Linked DNA regions of Drosophila melanogaster. The protein of the gene in region 1 interacts with the protein of each later gene in a biochemical or structural test. Each region holds a gene or a part of one and is shown in the gene's direction. Other genes may lie near its edges.

What was found.
Region 2: the proteins of trp (region 1) and inaD form a complex in vitro, tested with the Drosophila melanogaster proteins (4 studies listed by BioGRID, with this or other methods).
Region 3: of the proteins of trp (region 1) and inaC, one has a biochemical effect on the other in vitro, tested with the Drosophila melanogaster proteins (2 studies listed by BioGRID).

The regions. Positions count from the first base shown.
Region 1 is NT_033777.3:29,914,202-29,922,046, reverse strand, and holds trp (transient receptor potential), read left to right. Parts: upstream 1-1,757; 5' UTR 1,758-1,983; coding exon 1,984-2,132; intron 2,133-2,190; coding exon 2,191-2,428; intron 2,429-2,489; coding exon 2,490-2,632; intron 2,633-3,019; coding exon 3,020-3,221; coding exon of another isoform or gene 3,222-3,230; exon of another isoform or gene 3,231-3,241; intron 3,242-3,315; coding exon 3,316-3,492; intron 3,493-3,659; coding exon 3,660-3,894; intron 3,895-3,949; coding exon 3,950-4,248; intron 4,249-4,305; coding exon 4,306-4,673; intron 4,674-4,734; coding exon 4,735-5,092; intron 5,093-5,407; coding exon 5,408-5,627; intron 5,628-5,838; coding exon 5,839-6,004; intron 6,005-6,059; coding exon 6,060-6,220; intron 6,221-6,279; coding exon 6,280-6,434; intron 6,435-6,494; coding exon 6,495-7,451; 3' UTR 7,452-7,526; downstream 7,527-7,845. Other genes in the region: Capa (capability), read left to right, coding at 7,790-7,845. UniProt on the Drosophila melanogaster protein: A light-sensitive calcium channel that is required for inositide-mediated Ca(2+) entry in the retina during phospholipase C (PLC)-mediated phototransduction.
Region 2 is NT_033778.4:22,855,156-22,860,623, reverse strand, and holds inaD (inactivation no afterpotential D), read left to right. Parts: upstream 1-1,829; 5' UTR 1,830-2,025; coding exon 2,026-2,062; intron 2,063-2,412; coding exon 2,413-3,023; intron 3,024-3,077; coding exon 3,078-3,168; intron 3,169-3,230; coding exon 3,231-3,586; intron 3,587-3,650; coding exon 3,651-3,875; intron 3,876-3,934; coding exon 3,935-4,046; intron 4,047-4,103; coding exon 4,104-4,243; intron 4,244-4,303; coding exon 4,304-4,600; intron 4,601-4,670; coding exon 4,671-4,862; 3' UTR 4,863-4,936; downstream 4,937-5,468. Other genes in the region: RpL23 (ribosomal protein L23), read right to left, coding at 4,982-5,179. UniProt on the Drosophila melanogaster protein: Involved in the negative feedback regulation of the light-activated signaling cascade in photoreceptors through a calcium-mediated process.
Region 3 is NT_033778.4:16,896,669-16,902,083, forward strand, and holds inaC (inactivation no afterpotential C), read left to right. Parts: upstream 1-1,866; 5' UTR 1,867-1,976; coding exon 1,977-2,254; intron 2,255-2,415; coding exon 2,416-2,447; intron 2,448-2,501; coding exon 2,502-2,696; intron 2,697-2,756; coding exon 2,757-2,885; intron 2,886-2,946; coding exon 2,947-3,103; intron 3,104-3,163; coding exon 3,164-3,392; intron 3,393-3,446; coding exon 3,447-3,844; intron 3,845-3,907; coding exon 3,908-4,109; intron 4,110-4,168; coding exon 4,169-4,357; intron 4,358-4,414; coding exon 4,415-4,555; intron 4,556-4,616; coding exon 4,617-4,769; 3' UTR 4,770-4,907; downstream 4,908-5,415. UniProt on the Drosophila melanogaster protein: This is a calcium-activated, phospholipid-dependent, serine- and threonine-specific enzyme. This isozyme is a negative regulator of the visual transduction cascade and has been shown to be required for photoreceptor cell inactivation and light adaptation.

The DNA.
Region 1 (7,845 bases):
AAAAAACGTAAACTTATCAGTGTTCAATGATTTGCGAATCAGTTAAAAATACAATAAATTTAATGTTAAATACTACTCATCGGATGCAATTCATAAAATCATTTTCTACGTGGGTACATTCAATTTGTTTAAACACATAAGTATCTTATCGGTGCCATAAAGCAAATCAGCATTGATACTATAGATTTTTACGATCATGTTGAGGGCTTAGAGATATAATTTTAATACAGATGGCCATAAAATGAATTTTATCCCGCAATCTTGACGGTTTCCGGTGGGGAGACAGTGAAAGTGCAACCTGCTACGCAAACCCAGGGAAAATGAGCTCTTTCGCTTTTCTCGTGGAGAACTGAGCACATAACTCACAAGGGTCCTTAAAAGCTAAATAAGGCAGGAGTTTTGTTGGAGGCCAATGAATCATTGAGTGCAACCCAGTTGTACACTGCAGAAAATCATGTATAAACCCAACATAGCATTTAGTTAATGGGAACTTATAAGAAGAATGTGCATTTAGCCACATTTGTGTAATGAGGAGTACCTTTATATAATTACGAGAATGCCATCCAGGTATTTTCAGCTATGGCCTCTAATTAATTCGCACTTAATGAGTTCCCCTCGACAGCTGTGACTTTAATTTTGAAATTCCTTGGGCCACCATCACTTCCTTCCTCTTCTCTTGGAAGCCATGCGAGTGGAGTGTGGAGTGCATTGGCCCCGCTAAAAACCCCGTACGACTTGAACACGTACGATGCCATTCCGCCCGGAGCTCCATTGAACCCCACCTTTCGAACACACACATTCATCTCAAAGGGCTGCTCCGTGAAAGTGGGCTTGTTCCTTTTCCTTTTCTCCGCCTTTAGCCAGGAGCTGGCATTTAGTTCCAAGTGCATTGACACACAAAAGCCCTGCGAGCGCCCTGAAGTAAGCAACATTCAACATTCAAGGCTCAAGACGCTCGGCTGCCAAGGACGAGTTGGGTCTTAGATGTACACCACCCCACCTCCCCCTCCCACTTCCCATGCAGATTAATCAATATTCATCAATCACAAAGTCAGAATCACTGACCCAGTGCCCAAAAGGCATTCGAAATCATTTCAATTCGGTAGATACTCGACTGTAAACTGCAGGTGTGGTGTGTTTTCCGGCTCTGTTGGTTAGCCAAAAGCTTAAAAGCTTGCATTTTCTCCTATTTTTAAGGGCTTTTCTCGGTGAATAGTTCTAGGATATGAACCCAAGTCCATGAATCCCTATTTACTCGCAAATTAACACCCTCATGCTACTTTTTGAATATTAAGTAGCTTTGAATTTCGGCTTGAATAGGTGTCAAAAAGTATGCAAAGTGCGTATTTTTTTTTTGGGCATTGATCTATATTGCTGGGTACAAAATATTAGACACCTATTTAATTTCATATCTCAACTGTATGCATCATTTCATCGAAATATAAGCAGATAATATTGTTCCATTTAGCACGTTTTGTTTTTCACTTACATATAAACCCACTGGGCAGTATTGATTTGGATTTTCAGGCATAAAAGTGGTGCGATTCCGTTGCTGGGGCTTCGAAAATCGAAAGTCGCTCATCACGTGCAATGCAACCACAAATGGACGAAAGATTCCTGAACTGAAATCGCTAAAATCGGTTGCTGCCTCCAAATGCAGCCCCACAATTACCGAAGTGCGGTCAAATGGGCCCATTGACTCGGGGTTCGCCCACACATTGACCGAGTTTTAGCCACATTGGGCACTAATGTAATTAGTGGAATATAGCGACCCGTGGCTGCCACTTTTCAGCAGTGCAACGCGGCTAATTGGAGGCGGAACATCGCCACGATGGAACACTAAAGGATACAGTGCGCGAAAGGATTACGCCAAGGCTCCCCGAGGAGCAGGGATAAATGCCCATAGTGTTTGTGAGATGTGAAGTGACCGAGTGATCCGATCCTGATAATCGCGTTCGCATAGACCAGTAAATCAGTGCAGATATGGGCAGCAATACGGAATCCGATGCCGAGAAGGCGTTGGGGTCTCGCCTGGATTACGACCTGATGATGGCCGAGGAGTACATCCTCAGCGATGTGGAGAAGAATTTCATATTGTCCTGCGAGCGGGGTGACTTGCCAGGTGTCAAGAAGTGAGGCTTCCTCCCTATGGCTTCGAGTAACTCGGCTAATATGATTTCGTCCTTGAAGGATCCTCGAGGAGTACCAGGGCACGGACAAGTTCAACATTAACTGCACGGATCCCATGAACCGCTCCGCCCTCATTTCGGCCATCGAGAACGAGAACTTCGACCTGATGGTGATCCTGCTGGAGCATAACATCGAGGTGGGCGACGCCCTGTTGCACGCCATCTCGGAGGAGTATGTGGAGGCGGTGGAGGAGCTGCTGCAGTGGGAGGAGACCAACCACAAGGAGGGCCAGCCATACGTAGGTCACATCCTGCCGCAGAATATGCCACAACTCTTACTCTTTTCCCCTCCTTTGGCAGAGCTGGGAGGCGGTGGACCGCTCCAAGTCCACCTTCACCGTGGACATCACGCCCCTTATCCTGGCCGCCCACCGAAATAACTACGAGATACTCAAAATCCTCCTGGATCGCGGGGCCACGCTGCCCATGCCGCACGACGTCAAGTGAGTGGGGTGGTGTAGGGATGCAGTTGCTCGGTGATATGGCTATGTAGTGAGCTTCCTCGTCCTTCGAGCGGCACGTTCCATTGTTTGTCCAATTGGCAACACACTTATGTAGCACATCGCTGGGTGCCTCTAATTTTAGATAATTGCGGGCAAATTAGGGTGAAATATTAATACAGGGTGTAATGTTGTGTGTGGGAAGAGCAGGTCCTTGAATGTTCTTAAATTGGGTCAATGGACTCAAGCCTTTAACAGCGTCATAAATGTCCTTGCTAGGAGAGAAGGTCCTTTGTACTCCTTTCAGATTGATTTAAATGTATTTATTATTATAGAACTCTTGGGTTCCGTACACTTTGTATATCATCGCTTAATCTCAATTGTTTCTAGGTGCGGCTGCGATGAGTGTGTGACCTCCCAGATGACGGACTCCCTGCGCCACTCGCAGTCGAGGATCAACGCATACCGCGCCCTGTCCGCCAGCTCGCTGATAGCGCTCAGCTCCCGGGACCCTGTACTGACCGCCTTCCAATTGTCCTGGGAACTCAAGCGCCTGCAGGCGATGGAATCGGAGTTTCGTGCCGAATACACGGTACGGTAGTAGTGTGCAATGTAAGCGGTGGCCAGTGTGCCACTAGAGTCTATGCGAATGCGAATGCGAGCCTTTGTTTGTGTTTGCCCAACAGGAGATGCGTCAGATGGTGCAGGACTTCGGGACCTCGCTCCTGGATCACGCACGCACATCCATGGAACTCGAGGTGATGCTCAACTTCAACCACGAGCCGTCCCACGACATCTGGTGCCTTGGCCAGCGGCAAACCCTGGAACGACTGAAGCTGGCCATTCGCTATAAGCAAAAAACGGTGGGTTCGGACTAATCCGTGCACATTAAGGAACTGTGAAGGTTACAAGCTTGTGGCTAGATACCCATGCCTAATCCACCACAGACCAACTGGGATTTAATAGCTTTATATATAGAAACGGATCTTAGTACCCTGCTTGAATTTATAAACATTACTCCCCCTTCTAGTTTGTGGCACATCCAAATGTCCAACAATTGTTGGCCGCCATTTGGTACGACGGACTGCCGGGCTTCCGGCGCAAGCAGGCCTCCCAGCAGCTGATGGATGTCGTGAAGCTGGGATGCAGCTTCCCCATCTACAGCTTGAAGTACATCCTGGCCCCGGATTCCGAGGGTGCCAAGTTCATGCGCAAGCCCTTTGTCAAGTTCATCACGCACTCCTGCTCCTACATGTTCTTCCTGAGTGGGTAAAGTGGGTGCTTAACACTTCATCCATCTAAATATGCGCCCATTCACAGTGCTCCTGGGTGCTGCCTCCCTGAGGGTGGTGCAAATCACCTTTGAACTCCTCGCATTTCCCTGGATGCTGACCATGCTGGAGGATTGGCGCAAACACGAGAGAGGTTCACTACCGGGTCCCATTGAACTGGCAATCATTACCTACATAATGGCTCTAATATTTGAGGAACTGAAATCTTTATATTCGGACGGCTTGTTTGAGTACATCATGGATCTTTGGAACATAGTGGACTACATATCGAACATGTTCTATGTGACGTGGATTCTTTGTAGGGCCACCGCTTGGGTAATCGTCCATGTGAGTCCATATGAATCTAATGAATAAATTGGAGTTACTGAAACGAATTGATTTCAGCGTGATCTCTGGTTCCGGGGCATAGATCCTTACTTCCCAAGGGAACACTGGCATCCGTTTGATCCAATGCTTCTATCAGAGGGCGCCTTTGCTGCCGGAATGGTCTTCTCCTATCTAAAGCTCGTCCACATCTTCTCCATTAATCCCCACCTGGGACCCTTGCAAGTTTCACTGGGTCGCATGATAATCGACATCATCAAGTTCTTCTTCATCTACACACTGGTGTTGTTTGCCTTCGGATGTGGTCTCAACCAGTTGCTATGGTACTACGCTGAGCTGGAGAAGAACAAGTGCTATCACCTGCATCCCGATGTGGCTGACTTTGATGACCAGGAGAAGGCTTGTACCATCTGGCGAAGATTTTCCAAGTATATTACATTCATTTCTATGTACTTTATCATATTGGCATCCCATTTCAATTTACTTTAGCTTATTCGAAACATCACAATCGCTCTTTTGGGCCTCTTTTGGCCTGGTGGACCTGGTCTCCTTCGATCTGGCGGGAATCAAGAGCTTCACCCGCTTCTGGGCACTGCTAATGTTCGGCTCCTATTCGGTTATCAACATCATTGTGCTTCTCAACATGCTGATTGCCATGATGTCCAACTCCTACCAAATCATCTCGGAGCGAGCCGACACTGAGTGGAAGTTCGCCCGATCCCAGCTGTGGATGAGCTACTTCGAGGATGGCGGCACCATTCCACCGCCCTTCAACCTCTGTCCCAACATGAAGATGTTGAGGAAGACCCTGGGCCGAAAGCGACCGTCACGAACCAAGAGCTTCATGGTAAGTTACACTCAGAGAAATTCAATATTTCAGTTTAAGTATTATACAAATCCACACATATATATTAAATTCAGTGTACTCTACTTTTAAATGATATTTCTTATCATATTACTTTTAAATGTAAGTAACATTTCGAAAGTTCGATTTTTTCAAGTTGAATCACCTCACAGTGAGAGGCGGCTCACAATCAATACAAATCTTAAGCGAAATCATTTTCAATCAAGCCCATGCAGAGCTATCTGTGCGTCAAATTGACGTCTAATACATCCTTTCTGTGTCCTTCCACCCTCTAATGCTCCCTGTTCCAACTCCCAGCGAAAGTCCATGGAACGGGCACAGACGCTGCATGACAAAGTGATGAAGCTGCTGGTCAGGAGGTACATTACGGCGGAGCAGAGGCGGCGGGACGATTACGGCATTACCGAGGATGATATCATTGAGGTGCGCCAGGACATCAGCTCCTTGCGGTTCGAGTTGCTGGAGATTTTCACCAACAATAACTGGGATGTACCCGACATTGAGAAGAAGTCGCAGGGTAAGGGAAGCCTACCCACATCCAAATTGGCAACTTACACGTGTCTTAAGATAGAAGTAGCAGTATATATGAATAATTATTTACAATTAGCTTTTGAATACCTAATAAAGTTCACCCCATCTTGAATATTAATTTGAAATATGTTGTGCTAGAAGACTACAAAGCTAGAATGGATTTTAATGGATTTTATTCACTAAACTTACTTTTGAAGGAGTTGCTCGAACCACCAAGGGCAAGGTGATGGAACGTCGCATCCTTAAGGACTTCCAAATCGGCTTCGTCGAGAATCTGAAGCAGGAAATGAGCGAATCTGAGAGCGGACGAGATATATTCTCATCGCTGGCCAAGGTCATCGGCAGAAAGAAGACCCAGAAGGGGTAGGTCCACTTAAATCTGTAAGACGCTTTGAATAATGGTTATTATTCTCAACAGAGACAAGGATTGGAACGCCATTGCGAGGAAGAATACTTTCGCCTCCGATCCCATTGGCTCCAAGCGCTCCTCCATGCAACGTCATAGCCAGCGAAGCTTGAGGAGGAAGATCATCGAGCAGGCGAATGAGGGTCTTCAGATGAACCAGACCCAGTTGATTGGTAAATTAATAAAGATGTGCCCAATGTATGTATATTTCCATACCCTTGATCTCCTCCAGAATTCAATCCCAACTTGGGTGATGTGACGCGTGCCACAAGAGTGGCTTATGTCAAGTTCATGCGGAAGAAGATGGCTGCCGACGAGGTTTCCTTGGCCGATGACGAGGGTGCTCCAAATGGCGAAGGCGAAAAGAAGCCACTGGATGCCTCTGGGGTACGTTCCAATCAATATATGTATATGTATTCCCTGGCTAATATATAATCTCACTTGCAGTCTAAAAAGTCCATAACTAGTGGTGGAACTGGAGGAGGAGCTTCTATGTTGGCTGCAGCTGCTCTAAGAGCATCGGTTAAGAATGTGGATGAAAAATCCGGAGCCGATGGCAAGCCCGGCACGATGGGCAAGCCAACGGATGACAAGAAAGCAGGTGATGATAAGGATAAGCAGCAGCCTCCCAAGGACTCCAAGCCGTCAGCAGGTGGTCCCAAGCCCGGGGATCAGAAGCCAACTCCGGGTGCGGGAGCTCCAAAGCCCCAAGCAGCTGGCACTATCAGCAAGCCCGGTGAGTCACAAAAGAAGGACGCTCCGGCACCACCAACCAAACCTGGAGACACCAAGCCTGCTGCGCCGAAGCCTGGAGAATCCGCCAAGCCCGAGGCCGCTGCCAAAAAGGAGGAGTCTTCCAAGACCGAAGCTAGCAAGCCGGCAGCCACAAATGGAGCAGCCAAGAGCGCAGCTCCCTCCGCTCCTTCGGATGCCAAGCCGGATTCCAAACTGAAACCTGGAGCAGCTGGAGCACCAGAAGCAACTAAGGCAACCAATGGGGCCTCCAAGCCGGACGAAAAGAAGAGCGGTCCGGAGGAGCCAAAAAAGGCTGCAGGAGACTCCAAGCCAGGAGACGATGCCAAGGACAAGGATAAGAAACCCGGCGACGATAAGGACAAGAAACCTGGCGACGACAAAGACAAGAAACCTGCTGACAATAATGATAAGAAGCCAGCCGATGACAAGGACAAGAAGCCGGGAGACGATAAGGACAAGAAGCCGGGTGACGACAAGGACAAGAAGCCGAGCGATGATAAGGACAAGAAGCCTGCCGATGACAAGGACAAGAAGCCAGCAGCAGCTCCTCTGAAGCCGGCGATCAAGGTGGGTCAGAGCAGTGCCGCAGCTGGCGGAGAACGAGGCAAATCCACGGTCACAGGACGCATGATCTCCGGCTGGCTCTAAGCCGCGGAATCCACTTTCATAGCAATTAAATAGTTAAGTCCTTTGTTTGTGTGAATAATAAAAAAAAAGAATCTCAAGTACCACGTTTCTGCAACTTGTTGCTAAAGGCCACCTGTTGCCAGCAACATCTCATTTGCATCGCAGCAACATTCATCATCCGCCCCGTTGTTCCGATGGCAATTTGTTTGTCTGCCATCCATCCGCCTGCTTTTCTGGCCTATAAAAGAACGTGAACTTCGACCAGAGGAATCAGAAGAACCGTGACCGTTCCGAGGATAACATCAGACCGAAAAACATATTCGCCAAGCCAGTGTTTCGTCCTAAATAGTCTTGCAAATATGAAATCTATGTTGGTCCACATAGTTCTAGTGATTTTCATAATCGCCGAATTCAG
Region 2 (5,468 bases), on another chromosome or scaffold:
CAATTTGATATAACTGCATGTAAGTACAACACGAGAACAAGTCAACAACGGATTCGCCTGCACACACACACACACACACACACACACAGACACGTGTGGCCACTTACATAAGGACGAGTGGGTGTATGTGTGTGAGTGTGTTTGCCTGTGTGACAGCCAACAGTGGAAAATCACTTCAGTTAACTAAATCCCCGCAACAACCATGCGCCGACTGCGCCGCAGCAGCACGACTTCTGCAGGAGCGGACAGAGAGAGAGAGAGAGAGAAGGAGAGAGAGAAACAGAGAGCGGAACAGCCGAAAAGGACACGGCACAAAGCAGCCATTGCAGGGGCGTGGCCTGCGGCCAGAGAGCCAATCGGAGGGCGAGGTCTTGCGAACAGCGACGTCGGCAGCGGCAGAGGCTGCAAGGGACGAGGAGAGAGCGGGGCGGGGCTGGGGGAAGAGGTGGAAAAGGGGGCGGCAGCGTTAAGCTCATTGCCATATTTTCGCTGTGCTCTCTTTTGAATTTACTTTACTAACAAAACATGACTGTTGGGAGGCAAAAAGGAAATTGTTTTATCAAATGGGTTTCCTTACGCTTTTTTATTATGAAATTAATTTCCAGCATCGTTTCGCAGTCGTTGACGTTCCACTCCCATCGCTCTCACTCCCACTCTCCGTTGGGTTCGCCATTTTCCAGTTTAAACCCCATTTTGCGCCCAGCTCCTTTGAGCATGTGTTTACTCTAGTTTTCCTTTGGAGCTGCCTTAGCCATTCCACTTTCGTTTCATTCCGTTCGGGCAATGTTCGGGAAATGTTTGCATAGTCATATTCTCCCTTCCCTGCCTCCAGTTTCCTTTTTTCATACCGCCTTTCCCCCCGACAAAGGCATTAAAATGCAAATCTTGATTATGAATTTAAGCTCGGCAGACAAATTAAATTTATTTGCCACTCGAAAGATAAAAATCTTGAAAGTTTTATTTGATTACCGCTTGTGTCTGGTTCAGAAGTTCCCCAGCAATCCTTACCAATTCGCATTGAAATTGTTGCCTACTTTTTGGGGCTATATTATTGATACTGAATATATACAGTTCATATTCAATATCATATCATTGTCACCTTACATTTTATATTTATTTACTCTTTATTCTTCGGTATTTTGTGCGCATTTTATTATTGTTTTTTTATTAAGGATATTATATGTTTTAAAAATGTCCCCCACAAATTGTTGTTATTTGCAGTGCCGATATAGAAGCTCTCGCCCAGGTAAAAGTGTGTGAGACATATGTTATTCAGTTGTAAGTGCAATGAAAGAAAAATATAAAATCGATGGGCATTGCTGGTCAACACTTGGTGGGCTTCTCCTGGCGGAGTGTTGAGTTCAGCACGGGCCAAATCGTACCAACAAATTAATAACTTGATAGGGCCAATAAAGGTACATGGGTATCCATTTTCCCCTAGCCTTCACATCCGCGATGGTAACCCATATAATGGCCGTCTTCGGGGAGCTGGGTGTTTTGTGAGTGGTGTCATAACAGACAGTGAAAGTTACTCAATTCATTGGAGGCACCTCCTCCGAATCGATAGCACTGTACTGCAAGGTAATATTTTAATGGGTAATCTCAAGATACGAAACATTTTCATTATTATTAGTAGAATTTTTCTTTTACTCAAGCATTCTTTAGAAGGAAAGTTTGTGAAAGTGTCTTAGCATATATGTATGAACTACATGCATCTGGTACTCTAAGATCAACCCTGCTGACCAGTGTAATCGATACGAAAATCATACTCAAAATAGAATGGCCACTAAGTCAGTTAGCAAGAATGTTCGCCCGCTAATTGTAAAATCAGTTTAGGCGCACTTTTCAATGGACTCAAATCGGGCGCAGCCAACGCGGAATATTCACAAATAATAATTAAGTGAAAACCCATAACAATAAATATTCGATATTACATTTGAGCTTAATTCGGTGCGCTTAATGTCCGGTCAGTGAGTCGCGAGTTTTTGGCTAGGATTACGGAGCAGTCGATCTCAAGCAGCGAGGATGGTTCAGTTCCTGGGCAAACAGGGCACCGCGGGTGGTCAGTGTCCATTGAGTGGTTTCATGACCAACTGCTAATCAAATTTGCAGCTAGTCCCGAAAGAACTTGACCTTCCAAAGGTCACTCAATACTCGTTTTGTGTTTTATGAATCAAATAAAACAAAATTTGAACAAAAGCCAATTCAATTGACTTTATTGATTCTTAAGAATCCTGTGAGAAATATGTTTATGTAATGAACTTAACCTTAACATTTATATAAACGATTATACAATATTGGTGAAAATTATTTTGCGAAAGGATACCAAGTGGGATAAGGACCCCAATAAATATTTATTAGTAATAGCTTCACATTTGTCTTAGTCGTACTTTAACAATACGTTGTAAATAGTTTTTATTTCATTTGGAATGCACAATCCTTTCCCAGAGCTCATTCACATGGTGACCCTGGACAAGACGGGCAAGAAGTCCTTCGGCATCTGCATAGTGCGCGGCGAGGTGAAGGATTCGCCCAACACCAAGACCACCGGCATCTTCATCAAGGGCATTGTGCCCGACAGTCCCGCGCATCTGTGTGGTCGCCTAAAGGTTGGCGATCGGATCCTCTCGCTCAACGGAAAGGATGTGCGCAACTCCACCGAACAGGCGGTCATCGATCTCATCAAGGAGGCGGACTTCAAGATCGAACTGGAGATTCAGACCTTCGACAAGAGCGATGAGCAGCAGGCCAAGTCAGATCCGCGGAGCAATGGCTACATGCAGGCCAAGAACAAGTTCAACCAGGAGCAGACCACCAACAACAATGCGTCCGGAGGTCAGGGAATGGGGCAAGGTCAGGGTCAGGGTCAGGGAATGGCTGGCATGAACCGGCAGCAATCGATGCAGAAGCGGAATACCACATTCACGGCCTCGATGCGTCAGAAGCATAGTAACTACGCCGACGAGGATGACGAGGACACCCGGGACATGACCGGTCGCATTCGCACGGAGGCGGGTTATGAGGTGGGTTAACCCAAGGTCGCCACCCATCGCTCTACTAACTTATAAGTACCTTAGATCGATCGAGCATCCGCCGGTAATTGCAAACTCAACAAGCAGGAAAAGGATCGCGACAAGGAGCAGGAAGATGAATTTGGCTACACGATGGGTAAGACTCAATTGAAGCCATTAAAAAATGTCAGTCACACAGCACGTGAATGCCATTCCCAGCTAAGATCAACAAGCGGTACAACATGATGAAGGATCTGCGCAGGATCGAGGTCCAGAGGGACGCCAGCAAGCCACTGGGACTCGCACTCGCTGGCCACAAGGACCGCCAGAAGATGGCCTGCTTTGTTGCCGGTGTGGATCCCAACGGAGCATTGGGTAGCGTGGACATCAAACCGGGCGACGAGATCGTCGAGGTCAACGGCAATGTGCTGAAGAATCGCTGCCACTTGAACGCTTCCGCCGTGTTCAAGAACGTGGATGGGGATAAGCTCGTGATGATCACCTCGCGACGCAAGCCCAACGATGAGGGCATGTGCGTCAAGCCCATCAAGAAGTTCCCCACCGCGTCTGATGAGGTCCGTACTTTTCACTTCTTTTCGGATGGATCCTGCGATAAAATGTCCTTCCCTTCTATTCCAGACTAAGTTTATCTTCGACCAGTTTCCCAAGGCGCGCACGGTGCAGGTGCGCAAGGAGGGTTTCCTGGGCATCATGGTCATCTATGGCAAGCACGCTGAGGTGGGAAGTGGCATTTTCATCTCGGATCTGAGAGAGGGATCGAATGCCGAGTTGGCGGGCGTGAAAGTGGGCGACATGCTGCTGGCCGTTAATCAGGATGTAACACTGGAATCCAACTACGATGATGTGAGTCGTCAGGAAGCCCTCCAACCACTTAGTTTAAAACCATTTCATATCCACTTCAGGCTACTGGACTGCTTAAACGTGCCGAGGGCGTAGTGACCATGATTCTATTGACTCTCAAGAGCGAGGAGGCGATAAAGGCTGAGAAGGCGGCGGAAGAGAAAAAGAAGGAGGGTAGGTATTGCGTCCAAGCAAGTTCAAAACTGACATCTTCATCCCGATAACTCACAGAGGCCAAGAAAGAGGAGGAAAAGCCACAGGAACCCGCCACAGCCGAGATCAAGCCGAACAAAAAGATACTCATTGAGTTGAAGGTGGAAAAGAAGCCAATGGGCGTCATCGTCTGCGGCGGCAAGAACAACCATGTCACGGTGGGCTATCTGAACTTTCTGTTTCTGCAAGAAGTACCTTAAACAACTTTTCCCTGACAGACTGGCTGTGTAATCACCCACGTTTATCCGGAGGGACAAGTGGCAGCCGACAAGCGCCTCAAGATCTTTGACCACATTTGCGATATAAATGGTACGCCAATCCACGTGGGATCCATGACGACACTGAAGGTCCATCAGTTATTCCACACCACATACGAGAAAGCGGTCACCCTAACGGTCTTCCGCGCTGATCCTCCGGAGCTGGAAAAGTTTAACGTTGACCTTATGAAAAAAGCAGGCAAGGAGCTGGGCCTGTCGCTTTCTCCCAACGAAATTGGATGTACCATCGCGGACTTGGTGAGTGCACATACACCACTGGTATACAGTGGTAGGAAGGCTCAACCCTAAGTAACTACTTTCTCGACAGATTCAAGGACAATACCCGGAGATAGACAGCAAACTGCAGCGCGGCGATATTATCACCAAATTCAATGGCGATGCCTTGGAGGGTCTTCCGTTCCAGGTGTGCTACGCCTTGTTCAAGGGAGCCAACGGCAAGGTATCGATGGAAGTGACACGACCCAAGCCCACTCTACGTACGGAGGCACCCAAGGCCTAGAGACGATCCTCATTCTCCTCCTCCGGTAGCGAAGCAGTGCAGCAATTCAATAAAAGAACCAACAATTCGAATTCAAAACAATCTGTTTTCCGTTGTGGGTTTATTGAAAAGGAAACTCCTTAGGCTATAGAGCTTGCATTGGATGCAATACGGGGCCACAGATCGGCGCATTCCTTGGCCACCGGTCCAGTGATGGCCGAGCCCTTCATTTCGCCCTTGTTGTTTACTATTACCCCGGCATTGTCCTCAAAGTATATAAACACCCCGTCCCTCCTCCTGAACGGTTTGCGCTGCCGAATAACCACGGCAGGCATGACCTGGAAACAAATGAAAATAGTAGTTAGCAAAGTTGCTCGGCAGTGTGCAAACCTCCTGCTGCATCGGTTAGTTATGCAAAAGTGCGTTGTTATAGGTGGGGGAATTATGAGAAGTGCAGTGAAACCGTTTTATAAACCTTCTTCACTACAATTTTAAATTCTTATCAATAAACAAAAATATTAAAAACGTGAGTTTGGTGCGATAAGCTATCTTAGCCGGCACAAAACATGTGGGGAAAATTTATTGGAAGCGTAAGGAGAAACCTTCCACGTCTAATACAAATCTATC
Region 3 (5,415 bases), on another chromosome or scaffold:
AAATGGCGAACAACAGAATAAGGAAAACAACAAAGCCTTGGCCAAAAGCAAACGAAGCCAGAGAAAAGTAATGCAAAGTAAAGTCAGAGTAAATAACCTGGAAGTAAAGCTAAACAAAAATGTGTTATACGCTGAGAGGCGGCTCTCTGGCTCTTTGCGGCTTGGCCTGCTTTTGTGAAATGGCCAAGAGGGAAAAATGGAGGGGAAAATTGTTTGGCGACGCCATGGAAATGATGACGTAAATTGAAAGCCAAAGCTGCCACGGCAACGAAATCTATTTGCAATTCCCTCTGCTCGCCGAAACCCCCTTGTCAATGCCTTTCAACCGACAGGTGTGCAGTTCTGTAGTTCTGGGCAATCTGCGAGTGCATATTTGTCGACTCACTGAGTGCACTTCTGAGATACAGATACGCGTGCCGCTGCAGATACTTAGATACTTTGACTTGGACCTGCTTTAATGGCATTTTTCCCCGACAAAGGTCCTACATTTCCGCTTTAATGCATTTTCCAACCCATTTCATCGCTGCTTTCGGTAGCGTTTTTAGTTGTTTCAGCTTGGATTTCAGCTAACCGCTTTTATTTTGTATTTTGTTTGCCTTGCCAGCCAGCGTGTCCTTCTGTGTCCTGTGTGCACTTTGTGCTCAATTCTGCGTTTTCTATTTCTATTTTTAGCCCTGCACTGAAAGCCAGCTGGCTTGCAGGGGCGGCGCTTAAATGGGGGGTTCTTTCACGGAAAACGTGCCCTGCCAGCAATTGCATAAATTAATCAAAACTGCCACACAGTATAAATACTCAATCGACAATAGTCACACATACACACACACACACACATAGAAGCTTTCGCACATCACCATTTTCCGAAACCCCTTCGCCCACTTTTCCAATTTTATTGCATTGACGTCACAGCTGCAGTTGTCCGGAGCAATGGCTCCGATGATGATTATGTTTGTCTTCTGGCCAGGTAAGCACCTTCTTGACCTTTCCCAAGCTGTTTACACTTATCGCTGGTAAGGGCCCAAAGACGAGAGTTCTTGGCTTTCACTCTTCGGTCCTCCGTTCGATTGACGGGACGTCGTTGAGTGCTTTTTCCTGGGGGACAATTGCGATGGGGGCTAACTGCCGAACTAACTGAATCAGCGTGGATAAGTGCTGATTACCCAGGCATAGAGCAAATGGTTGCATGGCAACTTGTGTAAGATCTATAGGGACTAGTAGTAAGGATGCTTTGGACATGACATTCATTGTTATGAAATGGTTAAAAGCATTAAATTTGACTTTTAAAATGCGCACACATATATTAAGTACCTAGAAATTGACAGAAATTAATCATACAAAGTCTCAAATATTACACAATTGTTTAACACCGATTTACGCTAACAAAGGCACAATTTAATTGTGGTAAATAGTTCCACAAATGTCCGATTTTAAATAATTAAAAAAACATGCAATAAAGAGGCTATAAAATATTATTCACTTTGATATGTGCATAATTAACGTTTAATATTCGTGTGTTTACTCACACATATTTTATTTTCTTTTAGCTGCTTTACATGTGCAGAAATAATTTTAAATCAGAAGGGTATTTTTCTGAAACATTTCTCTTATGGTTTTTTTTTGATATGTATGAGCAGTATTATGTTGTATTTATATTACATTTTTTATTCAGTCTACACAAATATAATGAGATATGGATAAGGAGGTTTCTATAAGCTAGGAACAAATACATATTTGGAAAATTTATGAATGAAATTACGTCTTATGCACTATTGCATAAGTCCAAACTGTCGCCCGTTTGCATCACTCTGTGTCATTTTCTTGCCTTCAACTTTGTGTGTGCACTTTGTTGGCTTCCAAGTTGCTTCTTTTAGGGTCTTCACCTGACCGACCGGGTCAGTTTCTAGACGGGCTTGAAACCGTACGGTCTGAGTCAGCTTTTTCTCTTCACTAGCTATCCAATTCCCTGACATTATCTTTTAATGGCTGCGGCTGCTGTTGCCACACCGGGGGCCACTGTGCTCCCTCCCTCGGTGCCCAGTGCCGCTCCAGGGGCCAAGGCTCCAGCGGCTGGAGCTGGCAAAGGTCCAGGAAATCTACTGGAGATCACTGGCGAAGCAAATATCGTCAACTATATGAAGAATCGTCTAAGGAAGGGTGCGATGAAGCGAAAGGGTCTCGAAATGGTCAATGGTCATCGTTTCGGAGTTAGATTCTTTAAGAATCCAACCTACTGCGGTCATTGCAAGGATTTCATCTGGTGAGAAATTTCGTTTTCGGTTTTTGCTGGCATCTCAGCGTTCCCATCGTTAATTTAATTAGTGCCTTCGTTGCTGACACACTTTTCGTTGTTTTTTCTATATTTTTTTCGCTGTTCTTCCGTTTCGCATTGTTGCATTCGCGGATTCGTGCCGGGATTAGGGGCTTTGGCAAGCAAGGTTTTCAGTGCGAGGGTAGGTAGAAATGTTCACAATTTAAAAAATCTTTTAAAATATTTGCATACGCAGAATGCCGCTTCAACATTCACCAGAAGTGCTGTAAATTTGTGGTGTTCAAATGTCCTGGCAAGGACACGGACTTCGATGCCGACTGCGCTAAGGTGAAGCACGGCTGGATTTCCACCACCTACACCACACCGACATTCTGCGACGAGTGCGGACTGCTGCTCCATGGAGTCGCCCATCAGGGCGTCAAGTGCGAGAGTAAATTCCTGAATAAACTCGAGTCCTATTGCTTTCAAGCTATTAACCCAAATATTTCAGATTGCAACCTAAATGTGCATCACGCCTGCCAGGAGACAGTGCCACCGATGTGTGGTGCGGACATCAGCGAGGTGAGGGGTAAACTACTGCTATACGTCGAGCTTAAGGGCAATAACTTGAAAGTTGATAGTAAGTTATTACTTAAAGTTTATATGCCCATATAAAGATTAATGTTTCTTTCATACTGCAGTTAAGGAGGCAGCTAACCTCATTCCCATGGATACCAACGGGTTTAGCGATCCCTATATTGCAGTGCAAATGCATCCGGACCGTTCGGGGCGCACCAAAAAGAAGACCAAGACCATTCAGAAAAACCTCAATCCAGTGTTCAACGAGACTTTTACTTTGTAATAGTTGAAAACTAATCCTCTAAATAGACCTCTTTACCATATTTTCTTTAATCCTAGTGAGTTGCAGCCGCAGGACCGTGACAAGCGTTTGCTCATCGAGGTTTGGGATTGGGATCGAACTTCTCGCAATGATTTCATGGGATCGTTCTCGTTCAGCCTGGAGGAACTGCAAAAGGAGCCAGTTGATGGCTGGTATAAGTTTCTGTCGCAAGTGGAGGGTGAACATTATAACATACCCTGTGTGGATGCCTTTAATGATATAGCTCGCTTAAGGGATGAAGTTAGGGTAAGCGGATGTCCTCACCAAGTTTGCCACATATTTAATATTCCTGATTTTCAGCACGATCGTCGTCCGAATGAAAAGCGTCGCATGGACAACAAGGATATGCCGCATAATATGAGCAAACGCGATATGATTCGAGCTGCTGATTTCAACTTTGTTAAAGTTATTGGCAAGGGATCCTTTGGCAAAGTCCTGCTGGCCGAGCGTCGTGGCACGGATGAGCTGTATGCCGTGAAGGTCCTGCGAAAGGATGTCATTATCCAAACGGACGATATGGAGCTGCCAATGAATGAGAAGAAAATTCTAGCCCTATCCGGACGTCCTCCTTTCCTCGTCTCCATGCACTCATGTTTCCAGACTATGGACCGATTATTCTTCGTAATGGAGTACTGTAAGGGTGGAGATCTTATGTACCATATGCAGCAGTATGGAAGGTTCAAGGAGTCTGTGGCTATGTGAGTACAAATATTTATATTCAAGTACCATATTTTGAAATCTTCTATATATTATGTGCTTAGTTTTTACGCTGTGGAAGTGGCTATTGCTCTGTTTTTCCTCCACGAGCGTGATATTATCTATAGAGATCTAAAGCTGGACAACATTTTGCTGGATGGTGAGGGGCATGTAAAGCTGGTCGACTTTGGATTGAGCAAAGAGGGCGTTACCGAGCGGCAGACCACACGAACCTTTTGTGGTACTCCAAATTATATGGCTCCCGAAGTAAGTAAATCAGCCGAAAAAAATAAGTGTAAAAATAATCAGCTTAAAAATAATTTAAGATTGTTAGCTACGATCCGTATTCCATCGCCGCTGATTGGTGGTCTTTTGGTGTATTGCTTTTCGAATTCATGGCAGGTCAGGCTCCATTCGAAGGAGATGATGAAACTACTGTCTTTAGGAACATAAAGGACAAGAAGGCGGTGTTTCCAAAGCATTTCAGCGTGGAGGCCATGGATATAATAACGAGCGTAAGTGTTGGATTTCAAAAACATATGAATCTAATGGTATAGATTTGTATTCCAAAGTTCCTGACCAAAAAGCCCAACAATAGATTGGGTGCAGGCCGCTATGCCAGACAGGAGATTACCACGCATCCTTTCTTCCGGAATGTGGACTGGGATAAGGCAGAGGCATGCGAAATGGAGCCACCTATTAAGCCAATGATTGTAAGCTAAAACAGGAGCCCCACTAGGAAATCATTTTATTGTAATCTTGGGTACATTTCAGAAACATCGCAAGGATATAAGCAACTTTGATGATGCCTTTACCAAGGAGAAGACGGACTTAACTCCAACGGACAAGCTTTTTATGATGAATTTGGACCAGAACGATTTTATCGGATTTTCTTTCATGAATCCCGAGTTTATAACCATCATTTAAAATGGTCTAAAAAAAAGCTTTGAGAAAAGTTTATAGGCTTCTTCGAAAAACTAGGCTTTTGCAAGTTAATTTACCGAAATTTATTTATTGTATCCTTCGCTAAAAGCCATCTAAATGTTCATTAAAGCTTTAACGCTTAAAGCTCTGATATTTAGTGGGTGGATTTTTCTTTTGGCTTTCTCTCTTTTAAGAGACAGCTTTTCACCACTAACATTAACATTTCCTCTGAAGCCCAGATAGTAAAAGAAAACAGAGAAAGTTCCGGACCAGCAGCTGATTGCTTTCTCTTTCTCTCTTTTCGGAAGGGGAAATCCTTTTGTGGAAACTCACCACTCGAGAGCACCTGAATTAGTTACGCATACGCCGCGTGTGCTCCACTCAAGGAAACCCTGACAGGAAGTTTCAAGATTGCCAGTGGGCTAACTAGCCAACTTTGGTTAAAATCTAAACTCATCAACAGGCTTGAAAGTTTTTAGTTATGTATGTCGAATTTCAAAGTTGCTCACAAGGCCACAACTTATTGCCGTTCATGTGGGTATGATGAAAATTCTTCGAACATTTTTGCCCAAATCCATCTTGCGGGTCGAGCGTAAAATTCAACGGGGTGAAAAGCGGTTTAACGGGTCGCCAAATAGTTTTCCTGTGC